Lonchura striata: one gene and its partner. The protein of the gene in region 1 interacts with the protein of each later gene in a biochemical or structural test. Links are inferred from orthologs where the notes say so. Each region holds a gene or a part of one and is shown on either strand. Other genes may lie near its edges.

Evidence for each region.
Region 2: the proteins of RNF11 (region 1) and ZFYVE9 form a complex in vitro, tested with the Homo sapiens proteins (2 studies listed by BioGRID). The link is inferred for Lonchura striata from reciprocal best matches to the Homo sapiens genes RNF11 and ZFYVE9.

The regions. Positions count from the first base shown.
Region 1 is NC_134611.1:10,220,390-10,227,468, forward strand, and holds the start of RNF11 (RING finger protein 11), read right to left. Parts: upstream 3,035-7,079; 5' UTR 2,805-3,034; coding exon 2,682-2,804; intron 1-2,681. UniProt on the Homo sapiens protein: Essential component of a ubiquitin-editing protein complex, comprising also TNFAIP3, ITCH and TAX1BP1, that ensures the transient nature of inflammatory signaling pathways. Promotes the association of TNFAIP3 to RIPK1 after TNF stimulation.
Region 2 is NC_134611.1:9,886,019-9,893,965, forward strand, and holds the start of ZFYVE9 (zinc finger FYVE domain-containing protein 9), read right to left. Parts: upstream 3,224-7,947; 5' UTR 3,185-3,223; intron 1,935-3,184; exon of another isoform or gene 1,806-1,934; intron 1,116-1,805; exon of another isoform or gene 1,098-1,115; intron 1-1,097. UniProt on the Homo sapiens protein: Early endosomal protein that functions to recruit SMAD2/SMAD3 to intracellular membranes and to the TGF-beta receptor.

The DNA.
Region 1 (7,079 bases):
GTACTGTCAATGCAAGTCTCAACCTCACTTTTGGAAGTAGGAATTTTACACAGCCAGTTTAATAGCACTCACTGATCAAAGAAATTCCACATGCTATACTGCAATTTTTACTGGGGGTACATTTTGCAGTTGGAACTCAATAGGTAAATAAATACTAAGTCATAACAGGAGTCTCACATGAACATCCCTGGCACAATCCTGTCAGAACACAAAAAAATACTTTAAATGTCAAAATAATACAGAAGTCATCTTCTACAACTGTGTATCTTCCCCCAGCAAACCTCCTTCCCTTAGTTTGCATACCTTGCAAGAGCTACTCAGGAAGTTGACATACTGTTGCTGCAAACCCAACAGCAACAGACACCAGATTTTACTTTCTTCTAAAATATGCAGCTGATATTTCAGCAGCTGGCTTTAAAACTCTTCACCTTCCAGTTTCTCAAGGCTAGTTGCCACAAGTAAGTTTTCCAACTTGCTTTATCCCCTTTCCTGCTTTCATTTCTAATGTCTACTCATTATACACTAACTCTGGCTAAGATACTGAAAGAAGTCATTACCAGGAACAAGGCCACAACTTTCCAACACTGACTCTGAGCTGCCACTTGAAAGTTAAAATGGGCGACTTATTTCTAGCACAGAAGTAATACTGGAGCATTAGCAATTGTTCCTACTTAAGAGTTTTGTGTATCTTGTAAATATTAACTAATTTAAAATTATAAATCCCCTCAACCTCTAAAGCGCACAGATATTGCATAATATTGTAGCTAAGACCTATTTTTTTTTTTTTTAAAGTCACAATCCATCATGGCTCAAAACCTGTGGAAAGAGTAGCTTTGATTTTGACTATGAGACACTAAAGGCTACCCTAAGGTGAAGCTTTAGGAACTGGCAGGATCAGTGGAGGAGTTTTCAGGACAGACAGTGATGTTCAACACAGCCAAGTGCCTGTGGGCACATCACCTGATGCTGCACAGCTTCTTCAGCTGAGGGAAGGTTTGCTATGAATACACTTCCTCGATAATAGACACCTGTGGGTTCATTTATTTTACTGTCTGTCGTGTTCTCAGTCAACCATCCACACTTACAGACAAGTTCCTCATCAAGAAAAAAAATCTTAAAAACCTCTGACGACAGAGTCCTTCTCTACTTCAACATCCACACTAGAAGGCCTGTATAAGGCATTTACGTGGTTGTTGACTCTTGCAAGAGCTAAAAGGTTGCTTTCAAAGGGAAGAACAAGAAGACAAAAACCTTCACAAGTCTTCCTATAATCACAGATATAAATGCAATCAACAGCACAAACATTCAAACTTGTTATGCTGATTTGACAAAAATACAACACACTTCTAAACCTCATACAACACCTTCTAAACCATTCAGGCTTAATTTAGAACAACACAAAAAACTTGATCCGCCACCAAGCACTTTCTATTTACTTCAGCAGACATAGTTCAGAAATCAGAACAGAAAAAATCCTCACGAAATTTATTGTGACATTCAGCTTTTGCACCCAAACAAAACAATCAGGCACACACTGCCAAGAAACATCAGTGCAGCTTCAGGGCACCAGCAAGGGCTGCTACGTGCAGGGCTTCTCTTCAACACTTACGGGGCTCCTATCAGGGTGGAATTCTTGAACTCGCTAAAGCATTTATAGATTACATGCCTGTCCGGTTAAATACTTCCTGCAATTTTGTTAATTATACATCAAGCTCTGCAATTAGGGAATGACTCCCATCCTAGAAAACATCAGCTCTCAAGTTACACCTACCCCCCAGAATGTGTGTTTCTGTAGATGCCTCTGGTATGTATGCTATTATCCCAGACAATAAAATACTTTCAAAACTCGAATACAATGTGCAGTTCTATCGCTGGATGGTTTTCCTTTTCATTTTTCAGTGCTGTAGACCGTTTGTTTAGGTCAGTACGCATTTCTGTAGGTGGGGGAGGAGATGTCCGGGAGCAGACAAGTGCAACCCCAAGTTCAGGTTCCCTTTTCGTGTCCATCCCTTCCAGAGGCGGCCAAGCGCAGGCTTCGACACCAATGCCATCCTCCCTCCACACCGGCGTTACCCTCCGCTGACAGCAAAGCCATCAAAGCACGCTCGGCCTTTTCCTTCTTTCCCCCTTGATTCATCATCAAGATGTAAATTAAGAGATTCTCCCAGAGACAAAAAAAAAAAAAAACAAAAAAAAAAAAAACAAAAAAACCAAAAACCCCACCGAACAATGGGAAACACTTCCCCGCCGGTGCCCCACAGGACGGAGGGAAACAGGATCCGCTGCGCTGGGCGAGTTACTCAGTGGGGATCAGATGCTGCTAAAAATACGGGAGCGGAGCGAGCGGGCCCGGGCTAAGCCCGGGCAGGGCCCGCGGTCCCCGTCCCGGAGCGTCCCCGCGCCAGACGGTGCGGGGGACATCACACAGACGGTGATGTCACCGCCGGCGGCAACAAAGGACGCGGCACCGGCCGGGCGGCCCCTGCCCTCCGCCTCCCGCCCGCCCGGAGCGCCGGCACCGGCCGAGACAAAGCGGCTTCCCCCGCGCTACGTGCGGGCGGAAAGGGAGAGGTTCGGGCCGCCCAGCGCCGGAGCGGCGGCGGCGGCCCCCGGGGCGGCGCGCACCGGCCCCGGGCGAGCGGCGCCGCGACCCCCGGCCCCGCTGCCGCCCCCTCCCCTACCTGATATGGCGGCGGCGGCTCCTGATCCGGCTCAGCCCCGTCTCCGTAGCTAGCTCTGTCCGACTGGGACTCGTGCAGCAGCGAGATGTCATCCGAGGTGGGGGACTTGAGGCAGTTCCCCATCTTCCCGGGGGGAGCGCGGCCCCTCCTTCGCCTCCTCCCGCTCCGGATCCGCGCCCTCAGCCTCCCCGCCGCAGCGCGCAGCCCGCAGCCGCCCCGCCGGGGAGGCTCATGCCAGCCCCGGCCCTAAGCGGCTTAGCAGCTGCAGCCCGGCCGCCTCCCGCTCCGCTCCGCGGCCGCCCCGACCCCCGAGCCGGGGGGGGCGGCAGGACGGGCCTCCCACCCCCCGTGGGGCAGCGGGCTCCGGTGGGTCCGCCCGCGGCTGCCCGGCGCGGTTCTGCTTCCCGGTCACCGGCTCCCTGCGCACTGGGCTTTGTCGCACGGGCCGCCCTGGCTCCTCCTCTCACCCCTCCCCGCCCGGCCCCGGGAGCAGCCGCGGGGCCTCGCTGGGCTGCGCACCCCCCGGCCCCGCCGCGGGGACAGCCCTGCCCGCCCCCGGCGGGACGAGGCGGGACGGGACGGGCTGGGGAACCCAGCCGCCTGCCGGGCTCCCCCGGCCCCAAGATGGTGGGAGCCGCTTGGCCCCGCCCCCGAGCGCGGTGTTTGTTTGTGTTCCGGGCATGGCGGGGCCCGGCGCGGCGGGACGGGAGCGCAGCGGCGACCCCCGCGCCACCCGGCCCGCCCCGGCTGAGGCGCTTTGTGCGAGGCCCGGGGCCTGCCCAAGGCTCCCCAGGCAGGGAAGAGTTCCCCGTGCTGGTCGCTGGCGTGACCCCAGCGGCACGGTCAGTCTAGGCACAGGGCAGTGAGCCCCAGAGTGGAGCAAAATCAGCACTTGGCTTTTGCGTTTCTAAAGGGTTTTTTATGCGATGAGCAAGTACTCTAATGAGCCATATATTTATCTTCTCTTTTTTGCCTTCATAAAAATATATCCATACTTGGATATAAGTCTAGGTAAGTACTGATAAATGCAAATCTGAGGATACTGAATGCCCCCGTGTCACTGTGTTAGTGTGCCAGCACTAACCCACACAGCGTGGGATATGTGATGGTCCTGTTAGTGTTCTTTGGTTCCTCAAAATGCATCCTTGGCCTTCAGAGTCACATAATGGAAAATACTTTAAAATCCAATTTTTAAAGTGAAGTATTTTTTAAGGTGAAGCAAATACGGTGCAGATGAGAGCAGCTGCGAATTCCAGTCTGTAAAGCAGTACAGCGTGGCTGCAGTACCAAGTTGTCTGCTGATACAGCTTGGGCCTGCTTTGCAACTTCTTGGGTCAGAATATCTCCAGACATGCCATTCACAGTTATGTATTTGCCTCCACAACCTCTGCTGGTGGACCTCAGTCTGGGATCAGAGTTTTTGCTGATTATCCTTATGAGTTCATTCTTGTAGATTTCATTTTATTACTGTTTAGGGTAGTTTGTTTTGCTGCTTATCAAAGGGTAAGTTAAACAACCCTGGTGTAAAGCCTGTGATTGCTGCCATTTATGGTGTTCTAACACAGCTTCAGGCTTTTCAAGGAAACAGAAACTGAAAATCGGGCAGGATTTTTAGTGTTGCTCAAGATAGAGAGGCTTTGCAGTGGTGCATTGTAAATAATGACTGTGGTACATGGCTTGCTCATTTGGGTGTTTATCCTATGAGTCTGTTGGCTTGGTTTAATAGAATTAGGCAAGCAATTGTTGGAGGGGATCTAGTGAACCACTGCCTCACCCAGTCATGATTTTCAAGGTTAAGGCAATGTCAGAGCTGTCTGCTGTGAGAACCTGGTGATGAAACTCCAGCATTGTCACTGGTATTTTGAGTTGTGCACTGGCACCATTGGGAACAAGATGATGGGCAGCTAGAAGGACTGAGTTACTCAGCTGTTATCTTGTGTTTTGTTTTCTCTCTGAGGCTCAGGCCTGTGTCGTTGATGTAGTTCAGTGAAAACCACAGGTCACACTGTGCCATGGTGTGAGGCTGTGATCACAGTTTGATCCTCCACAGTGAGGAGGTCCTATGGAAACCTGTGGTGCCTCCCTGCTGGCTGACGTGCCAAAATAGCCTTTCTTTGGAAACCAGAGTGCAAACTGGTCTCATCCTGATATACAGTCAGGATGTAGGTGGGATTTCCTCTGCATCTCATGGTAGAGATGTTGCATTTATTTACCTTGTGGCCGATCTCCAGAAGGAATAGCTGCTAAGCCCAGTTAAAACTTTCCCCTTAGTAGGTACAGGATGCTCCAAATCTGGGCATGTTTTAAAAAATGCAGACTTGTCAAATGCCAGAAGAGACCTGCTTTTCACGGTGGATTCACAGAGACCAAAGAGGAAGCAGAGAGGTTCATGTTTGGCCTTGCAACAAGACAGACTGCACCTGTGAGAGCTCTGAAGGGGGAAGAGCTACTACCAGTCATGTCTGGACTCTTTCAAGTTGGGGTGGTTGAAGGCACTGCTTTTCCTGGCCATTCACTCCTGTTTTGCCAGATAGGTCATTAATAGTGGCTTTGAACCATCAGCTCAAAAGTTGTACAAAGGTCTGAGGATATGGAAAATGGAAACATTTTAGTGTTCACAAATGTCTTTTAATATCCCTGAATATGCTGAGATGTAGCTGTGAGCCTACTCCTTTTGCTACCACACTTTTTGCAGGTTGGGGACAAGGAAGTAGAGGGATGGATCCTCAGAAGATGTGATTTATGAGTGTGGTTTCTTTGCTTTAGCAGAACCATGGTGTAGTTTAACTGATTACTTCGGTTCTCTCTGGTTTTTACTTCCTCTACTAATTTTGGGGAACACGTAATAGTCAGAATGGATTTTCTAGAGCCTTAGAATGCTCCTGTAGAGGAAGAAAGATTCATGTCGTGGTTTAGGGCTGCACAAATACTACAGACAGAAAAGATCATGCAAATACAAAAATTTGTGTCAGACTAATATCAATACAGAACTGGCAAGGCAAGTCAATGAAACTTTTCCTCACATCTAGACATTTAAACAGTTGGCTGTAATCTGTTTTCAGAATGGTAATGGGGAAGTTCTGAAGTTTGCCAGCATACAGAATTAATGTTCTGGTACACCTCAATACAACAATGTCACACATGGGTCTGTCCTCACCACCTTGTGACAGCTAGCATCTTCTGAGTGAAATCTCTCTTTCAAAACAGAATGGAAATTCAAGAAAAAGAGTTTTAAACTATGCAGACAAAGTTTATGTTTTATTTTACAGGCTTTTGATATGAGAGGAGGCAAATGACATATTGACATATTCTTAAGGCTCATATGAGGTAGCCGGAGGTGATGAACTGTTCTACTGAAAAATCCATTTCCTTTTGAGTTCAAAATCTAAAATCCTCTGGAGACATAAAAAGTCCTTCTTGTTAGGAGTTCCTCTACAATATTGGCGTCATAAATTGCCTAATTTTTAGATGAAAGATCTTTTGATAACACCATTTTACGTGATCCATGTTCATGTTATTGTTGGATAACATTTTGGATATGTTTAATATGTCATGCTTAACAAAAGTTTTCGAAAGACCTTTTCTGTCCTCAGCATGGAAAAGTTTTTTCACTTCCTTTTCTTCCATCAAGCTTATTTTCCCAACACTTATCATCTCTCATTAGGTCTTATCTTTCTTCTGGGTAGGATTGTTTTCCCAATTCATACACAGAAGCCCAGTTGATTTCTGAGTGCAATCTTTCCATGCCATGCTACCCAGAGGTTCAGAGATAACTCTGTTTGCTTGGGTAATGTTGGTGAATAGAACACAATGCAATTTTAAAACCTTTTTCTGGAAGGAAAAAAAAAAAAAAAATACTTTGTATACCTCTGGAGAATGGAAGTAAATTACATTCTTCCATTATGTATGTGAATCTGATTATGAGGATGGTGGAATTAATTTATGTGGTTATAAAGAACATGGCATCTTCTAAAATGCACATGATTATTTTTAGTTTTGTTGATTTTAGCTGAACCATAGACATTTCTCAGTGTATGTTACAAATGCATATTGCTTTCTGAGACAGAGTGAATGCAGCACTAGAAAGCAATTATGGAACTAATATATTTCCCTGAAATGTACTTTGTGATGCAGGATTTTACTCATGTTTCTAAAAATTACTTAAACTTCTGCCTAAATTATACTGGTATCACAAATATGCCACTTAAAGCAATTTATCCCAAATATACCATCTTGGTAAGAAGAAGTATTCCATGACTGGCAAGAATAACTTGCTTTCCTTAATAACGGTTTTCCCCAGGTCCAAAATGTTTTTTCAGTGACGAGTGTAATGTATGCCTATCCTGTGCCCTGGGGCACCTGCCCTGTTCTCTGAGCCACAGAGAACAGAAAGAACAT
Region 2 (7,947 bases), about 330 kb from region 1:
TTAAAAGCTGATCATTCTTTGGCCACAAGTTTTAATACTGCATCTTTGTTCAGTCTCTACCTTTGTTCCCTGAGACAATCACAGCCAGACTTTATGCCAAGCTAAAAAAACTGTATTTCATCTCAGCCTTAGCCCCAGGCCTCAGATCCTGAAATGAGTGTGTGTTTGAAAGTATTTAATCCCCAGCCTCGTAACTGACTCAAAGCTAACACACAAAAATAACACCCAATATCAGGAGTCAGCATGGCAGTTTTGGGGTGGGTTTCTTCCTTTCTCACACACTAAAGGAGGCACCATAAAGCAATGCAAATAAATCACAGTGTGTCAGAACATGGCAACTTGTTCAGGGCTGATCAGGGCTTCAATTAGAGGGGGAGGCTTGTTTGAAATTTTAGACCCTTCTTCAGCTTCCATTTCAGATTCCCCAAACTTCTGAAGAGATTTTTAAATTTGTCTCTCTTGGGTCAAGGAGACTGATCTTCTCATTTTGCATCACATGCCGTAACTTTATAAAAAGCACACAGAAGGTTCAAGCAGTAACAAAGGATTTGGATGTTTCAGCCACTGAAGGTGTATCTAAAATCTGAGTTTGTTCCATGCAATCAAAAATTATTTGCTAATAGAAGTTAATCACAATGTTTTAAAGCCTTGCCTAGTCAGTTAAATGCTGCCCAAAGAAAAGAAAGGCTTTTATTCAGGTAGACCATCTTTTTCATTATTACTATTTTATTTGTTTTTACACGGTTCCTTCCAGGTTTGAGTTCAGTCTGGACCCAAAAACTGAAGAGAGGGTTATTCAGAAATTCTAATCTGAGACACTTAATAGAAGATTGATGAAACTCAGTTAACTTTTAATATCTGAACGGAATGAAAATATGTGTAAAAATGCCACCCTCTGAAAAACCTCTGTCATAAAATAATAAGGAACATCCTGTCTATAAATAAAGAAGATCGTTTACAAGAAAACATAAAGTCTAACAATTTCTATCTGCTACTTGCTTCTCTATCTGGTTAAGAAGATAAAAACATTTATTGAGCCACACTCTGCCACAGGCACATATTTAGCCATAACATTTATGAGCAAGAAACTAGCCTACCTCTGCAAAAAGTCTGACATGCCAAGAGTGCCAGTTATTCTTAGAGTGAGACATGACCACAATTTCACGTAATTAGAGATGTTATAAAACGCATCCCGCCCGCTCTCCCCATCCCCCTCCACCACTACCACCATTGCAGGAGTGACTTGTTACACATCGCGATGAGCAAGTAACATTCCCTGCCCGGGGAGAGAGCGGAGATCAGGCCATAAAAAGGGCACGAGATGCAAACAGGGATCCTCCCCTGCCCGGGCCGGCAGCCGCGGCTGCCCGGGCACAACCTCGCCCTGCCCCGCGCCGGCACCCGAGGCGTCCCGGGGGGAGCAGCAGCTCCTTCCCCATCCCCGGGATCGCCGGCGCGGGGAGAAAGGTGCCCCGGGCGAGCGGGTCACCAAGTCCGGACGCCCGGGGACGGAGGGGGAACGGCGGGGAGAGGGCTCGAAGGACCACGGCGGCCGCCGGGGAGGGCTGGGGGGCGACCGCTGCCTTCCCCTTGGTGGCGTGCCGAGGACGAGGGTGGCGGGGCAGGGGGCGCCCGGAGCCGGCAGGCCCAGGGCGCTGTCGGCGATACGGCGGCTCCACCGATGCGCCGGAGCCCTCCCCGCCCGCCCGCCCGCGGGGCCTCGCTGCGGGCGGCGGGGGGCCTGGGGAGCGGGGTACCCCGGCCTTCCGGGCCCGCGGGAGACGCGCCGGACGCCGCTCACTCACCTCGAGAGGCAGCAGGCGCCGCCGGGTCTGCATGGCGAGGGGGATCTCCCGGGTCCGCCCGGGAGCGCTGGGGGCCGGCGCGCCCTCGCCGCCGCCAGCCGGGCTCGCTCGCTGCCTCCGCGGCCAAGGCCGCCGCAGCGCCCGGCAGCAGCGCCCCCTGCCCGGGCCCGGCGGCAGCGCACGGCACTGCGGCACCGCCGGGGAGGCGGCGCGCAGCGGCCGCGCCCCCGCCCCGCGCCGCGGGGTCCGCGCCCGCACCTCCGCACCGGGCCCGGGGTCCTCACCGGCACCCCCGCAGCGGCCGCACAGCGGGAGCAGCCGCCCGCTCTGTCCCCGCGGGGACTCGCCGAGGCCGCGGCTTCCGCAGCCACACAGCCACACACACGCACAGAGGCCGAGGCGGCACCGGGCACCCACCGCCGCTACCGGGCGCTGCCGGTGCCCTGCGGCCGAGGGACCGAGGGACGCGCCTCCGGGCAGCCGCTGCAATGTGTGTAGTGTGATCGCTCCACGAAACCTGGTCAGAAGAACTCGCAGCTGGGAGCCGAACATGTGTTATTTCGCCATTTCATGTTGAGTGTCTCCACAATCGGAGAGGGACACCATCCTGCGGGACGCCCTCGGCTGCCCCGAGAGGTGCGAGGCCCGGAGCCGTCCGCTGGCAGACACGTTCAGTCCTCAGCAAAGAGGCTTCCAGAAATTAAAAAATAAAAATAAAATAAAAATAAAATAAAATAAAATAAAAATATAAACACAACAAATTAAAAAAGAAAGAAAAAAAACAAAAACAACCAACCGCACAACAACCAACAACCCCGCTCGCTCCCCACAGGAGCCGCGATATAGCGAGCCGACAGTGCCAAAGCGTGACACTGCGCCCGGAGTCCCGCCCGTTCTCTCTCCAACAGGAGGCGGCCGCCCATGCCGGCAGCGGGACTCTTCGCTGCTGCGGGCGCTCGGAACTCCAGGAAATGTCACTCCCCGAGTGTGCCGCGGCCCGGCGGGCGCGGGGCGGGCGGCGAGCGGCCGGCGCCGGGCTGCGGGCCGGCTCCGGGCTGCGGAGCGGCGCCGGGCTGCGGAGCGGCTCCGGGCTGCGGAGCGGCTCCGGGCTGCGGGCCGGCTCCGGGCTGCGGAGCGGCGCCGGGCTGCGGAGCGGCACAACGCGCCCTCACCGCCGCCTCAGCCTCAGCCGGGCGAGCGAGCGCCCAGCGCCTCACGAACCCTCGCCCCTCGCCTCAGGAACCCCTCATCGCCCTCCTCAGGAAGCCCTCACCTCAGGAACACCCCACCCCTCGCCTCAGGAAACCATCACCTCGGTTCCCCCTCAGGAAAGGTTCGCTTGGTGCCAGGGGAATGGGAAGGAGTCGCTGTCCCCTCACCTTTGTGCAGGTCCGTGATCCCCCGGCTGCAGCAGTGCCATGTCAGCCCAGGAAGGAGGGAAAGGTGAGTGTGCTGGCTGCTAATGCAGTTGCAGGGCCATTCCCTCTTCTTCACACTTACAGGAAGCCCATCACTTTCCAGCAGGTTGGGCTTCTCCATAAACTTGCCACATATGTCAGTGAACTCAGTGTAATGAGCCCCGGTGATAAAAACTAGGCCTCCTTGCTCCAAGAGCATCAGCCCATCCTGCTTGAAATGAAAGGGAGGCACTTAATGTTTATTCATTGATTCTGGTGGAACTATGTGCTTTTCAAGCGAAAAATATGAGATACTCCCAATCAACTGAATCATCAATCCATGGGCAAATAGCTGAGGAGATAAAAAATGCTCATCCATCATAGCTGGAAGTAGCATGTTAATGGAGATGGAATTTATTTACTCCCATAAAGCATTCCTGGTTAACCCCAACTTGCTATCTCTTTAGCAATTAGTGTTGTCATGCTTGTGAAGCACAGATGAGGGGTTCAGATTGGTGCAATACACCATTACTGTCCTCAAAATGGTTCTCATGAAGCACCTCAGACTGATAAACATACAATATGCCTGACAAAAAAAGGGAAATTAATTAAAGAGTGAGTGGCATAACACTCCATAACCTCTGGCCAAATGCATGCAAGTGCATAGCTTTGCCATCTGTGATCTACCTCACGGAGGCATATTGCTACCATAATTTTTTTCTGCTTTTATTCCTCTGGATACAGCCATTTACTGGGATATCTTCTCACCAAAAACAGAGAGGTTTTTCCTGAAGGGTATCATAACTGGCTGTTTTGCAAGAAGGCAAAGCATGAAAGCATGCAAAACAGGAGTTAGGAGCAATGGGAATAATTTCTGTGAGTTAAGGTGATGGTCTCATTCCCCATTCCCCCTGGGTAGCTTGGATGCCTCATGACTTGTTCCTAATGAAGATGTATCTAGAGAAGCAGCAAACTCCACAAACTCCAGGAGCTGCTCCAGGCAGTTGTGGTGCCAGACACCTGAGCTTAGAGCAGGGAAATTGCCCATCCTGTGTTCTCAATGTGCTCCCTCTGCTAGAAGAAGAAACATTTCAATATTGATAGTGAGAAACACTGTGAACAAACCAAAGGAATAATTTTAATCCCAAGCCACAGCAAGGCTGTAAGACCATGGACCATGACCTTTCACTTGGCACAAGAGTCCGAGTTACAAACTCTCCAAAATGGATCTGCAGCTCTTCCATGTCTGTGGGCCTCCACAGCACTGTCATAAGAAATGGTGCCTGATACTATCCCACGGGACACCTTACTATTGAGCTTGCCACCTCTTTTCCCAAGTATTTTTCCCAGCTCTTTATGAGAAAGGCATAAAGGAGAGAAGAGGATACTCCAATTTGCAAAAGGCAGGGGATGGGAAAGGGGGAAAGAGGTCCACACTTAGAAAGGTGAAGGGAACCTCTGAGGTGCCCTGGTTGCAGGGAGTAGCACAGAGTTACAGGGTCAATACAAAGATGTATGTAACAATGTGTGTACTCTGGGATCTAGGAGTTCCAGGGAATTCAAAATTATGCCAGAGTAATCTTTGAACTGCAGAGTTAAGGACAAATAAGAGGATTTTTAAACTATGTGGTAAAACTTGCAGAAACCTGGAGAAAAGGAAGTTTCATACTGTCTTCACTCTGTTCCTAGGCAGAAATAGTGGAACAGTTAACAACAGTGTAGGAAAGGCAGAAGAACTCAATAACTATTCCTGGTCTGTTTTTTGGGGAAGAGCCATATGATACACAAATATCATATGATGATGAAATACATTCCATTACAACAAGCACTGAGGAGGATGTTAAACAGAAGCTAATGAAGTTGGCTATCAGCAGGTCCAGGTAACTTGCATCCAACAGTTTTAAAAGCACTGGCACAGAGTATCTTTAGACCATTAATGTTGATTTTCAATAAATCTTGGAACACTGTTAAAGTTCCAGAGGACTGGATGAAATATTGTACCAATATTTTTAAAGGGTAAACAAGGTGACCAAGGTAATTACAACCTGCCAGACTGACAAGAATTCTGGGTAATAAAATGGGACATTATCTACATTACTTGATTGAAAAAGAATTAAAGAGTGGAAACACAATAACTACAAATTAATGTGGAAAATAAATCTTGTGAAAATAATTTTATTTTTTAAATGGCATTACAAGTTTGGTTGATGAAGGTAAGTAGGTCTGCAAAATCTTTGTTCTGGTAACTTGCAGCATTTTAATTAAGAAGCCAAAATGCTACCGACTCATCACAGCACTTATTGAACTGTTGAGACTCTAACTAACTGACAGTTACAAAATGGGAAAATAAAAAGCCATCATCAAAGAATGTGTTTCTGCATCCTATGGCAATTAGTTCTACACTGCATTGTATTGATATTAATAGTTTTAAGAAAAACATAAAATCATCACTTAAAGAGTTTGCAAGTGTTGTAAGCAATAGGGATTAATAAATAACAAGTCATGCTGCAAAGTAGCTGAGACAGCTTGATAGCAAGTAATGTGCATTTCTGTACAGCCAAATGTAAAAACATGCATCAAGGAATAGAGGGAGTGATTTTAGGATGAGAGAATTTGTGCTTTTATAAGTTAATGCTCAAAAACCTCAAGAATCATCACATATAATCAGGAGAAAATAAGCAGGTGGTGTGATGCTGTAGCCAAGAGGATAATGCAATCCTTGGGCTTATAAACAGGAGAATATAGAAAGATATCTCTATTTATTTTTCTGGTACTAATCCAACTGCTCCTGATACCTAAACTCCTTAATTCCTTAATAGAAGCTGAAAAAGAGATGGTTCAGAGAAGATCAATAAGAATGATTTAGACTGAAAATGAAAAGGTTCAACCTATTTCAGTGTCAATAAAGAAGATATAGGGGTGACTCAATCACACATTTTAAGGACCTTCAAGATTCAGTGAGTGTATGCAGATGTATTCATCTTCCTGTGAGGTCTTCTACCAGGGAAGGTAATTAATAACCAGGACAGTTTAGGATGGGACAAGCTGGATTTCCCAGCACTGGGAATGTCAAAATCAGGAGGTTGTAAAAACTTAATTTTAACAGAAGCAGGAGTTCAGTCCTGTAAGTCTGCTCCCCGGGAGGTAGAACTCTGTGTCTATAGCTGTGAATTCTGGCTGCTTGTCTATGCAGAAGTTGATTTCCTAGGGCACTAAGAAGTAACAACCTGTCATCCCTTTCAGCATCATCTGACACAGCTCATGTGCTGTTCAGCACATGATGGGAGCAGCCGTGGGGAAGGCAGTGTTTACAATGGTTGAAGAGAAGGGTGGACTTGTTCACAGAAGGCAAAGCCTTTGTAGCATATTGCATACCAAGATAACTTTTCTCACTCAGGAAGCCTGAGACATGCATTGCTGGAAGCTGGGAGGATACTCCTGATATGTGTGCCTATATGATTTTCCTGCTACTAAACTCTTCCTCTAGCATCTGCTTCTGGCCACTGTCACAGACAGCACATTGATCTTGTGCAAAGCAGTCTCTCAGGTCCACCCAAAGCTGACCCACACCTGATCTCTGAAAAGTGCAGTGGGAAATTTAGTGTGAGCAGAGAATAGGTGCTTGAAACATGCATTGCACAGGAGAGGGCAAGAACCAGTAGAGAGAACAAGAATTCTTGATATTAGAAGGTCAAAGGCTGACTTGGGTAGGGGATTGCACGTAAGGCTCTGATGTATCCAAACTCTGTTATTGAAACATTCCGAAATCTCAGTCTGATCTGGTACCGTCAAAAAACTAGAAAACTTTGCAGCAAAATGTTAATTACTTTCCCAACATAGTTCCTGATAAAAGTGCTCAGCCTTCTACTGATATGCAAAATCTCGAGTAGGAAAGGGCTGTGCTGTGAGCCTAAGAGTCCAAACCTCTTGAGTGACTGAAGCTTTTATTCACAGTTCCATGGAAGAAAATGTTGGCTTTTTTTCTGCGCAGTTGCTAATAACTGCTTGCCTGCCACACTTTGACAGAAACAATACTCTAAGTATTCATTCCTAACGCCGTTCGTAGTGAAGGGCTTAGTGATCATTTAATCAGTTTTTGTTGTAAAATAAACGCCCTCGCTGATAACATCCTTAGAAAGAGGCGAGCAGACGGCGCTGCCGACTGCAGTGCTGTGGCTTTGCCCTCTAGTGGCTGAGAGACTGGCCCAGCTCCGGTGGTTTCTGTCTCAATACGTTTTGATTACCTCATCAGTCTTGAATCTTTGATTTTTCTAAATTCTGTGCAGTCTTCATCCATTAAACTCAAGTACTACCTGCACTAGAACAATGTAAATCAATAAAATCCTTGGCTTAAGATTCTCAGAATCCTATATTAAGGTTAGCTCAGTATTAGTGAGTCATACGATAAAGCCACTAATACATGGGCACTTAATTAATCTATGATGCATTTTCCACCAGATAGGTCTTAATCTCTTGGAAGGAAAAAGGCCTGCTAGGTCACCATCTCATTGTGTGAGTCAGTTTAGAGTCATTCCATGCTGAATACCTATTCTTATTTTGTCAAGTTTAAATTTTAAATGTGCCATGTATCCTTAGGAGTTAAAAAAAAAAAAAAAAAAAAAAAAAAAAAAAAAGGAAAAAGAAAAAAAGGAAAAAATATTACAATCCTTTTCAACAGTAAACTCAATAGGTTATGCATTTGAAAGGGTTAAAACTTCTTTACTGTCTGTGCTGGCTAAATCTTG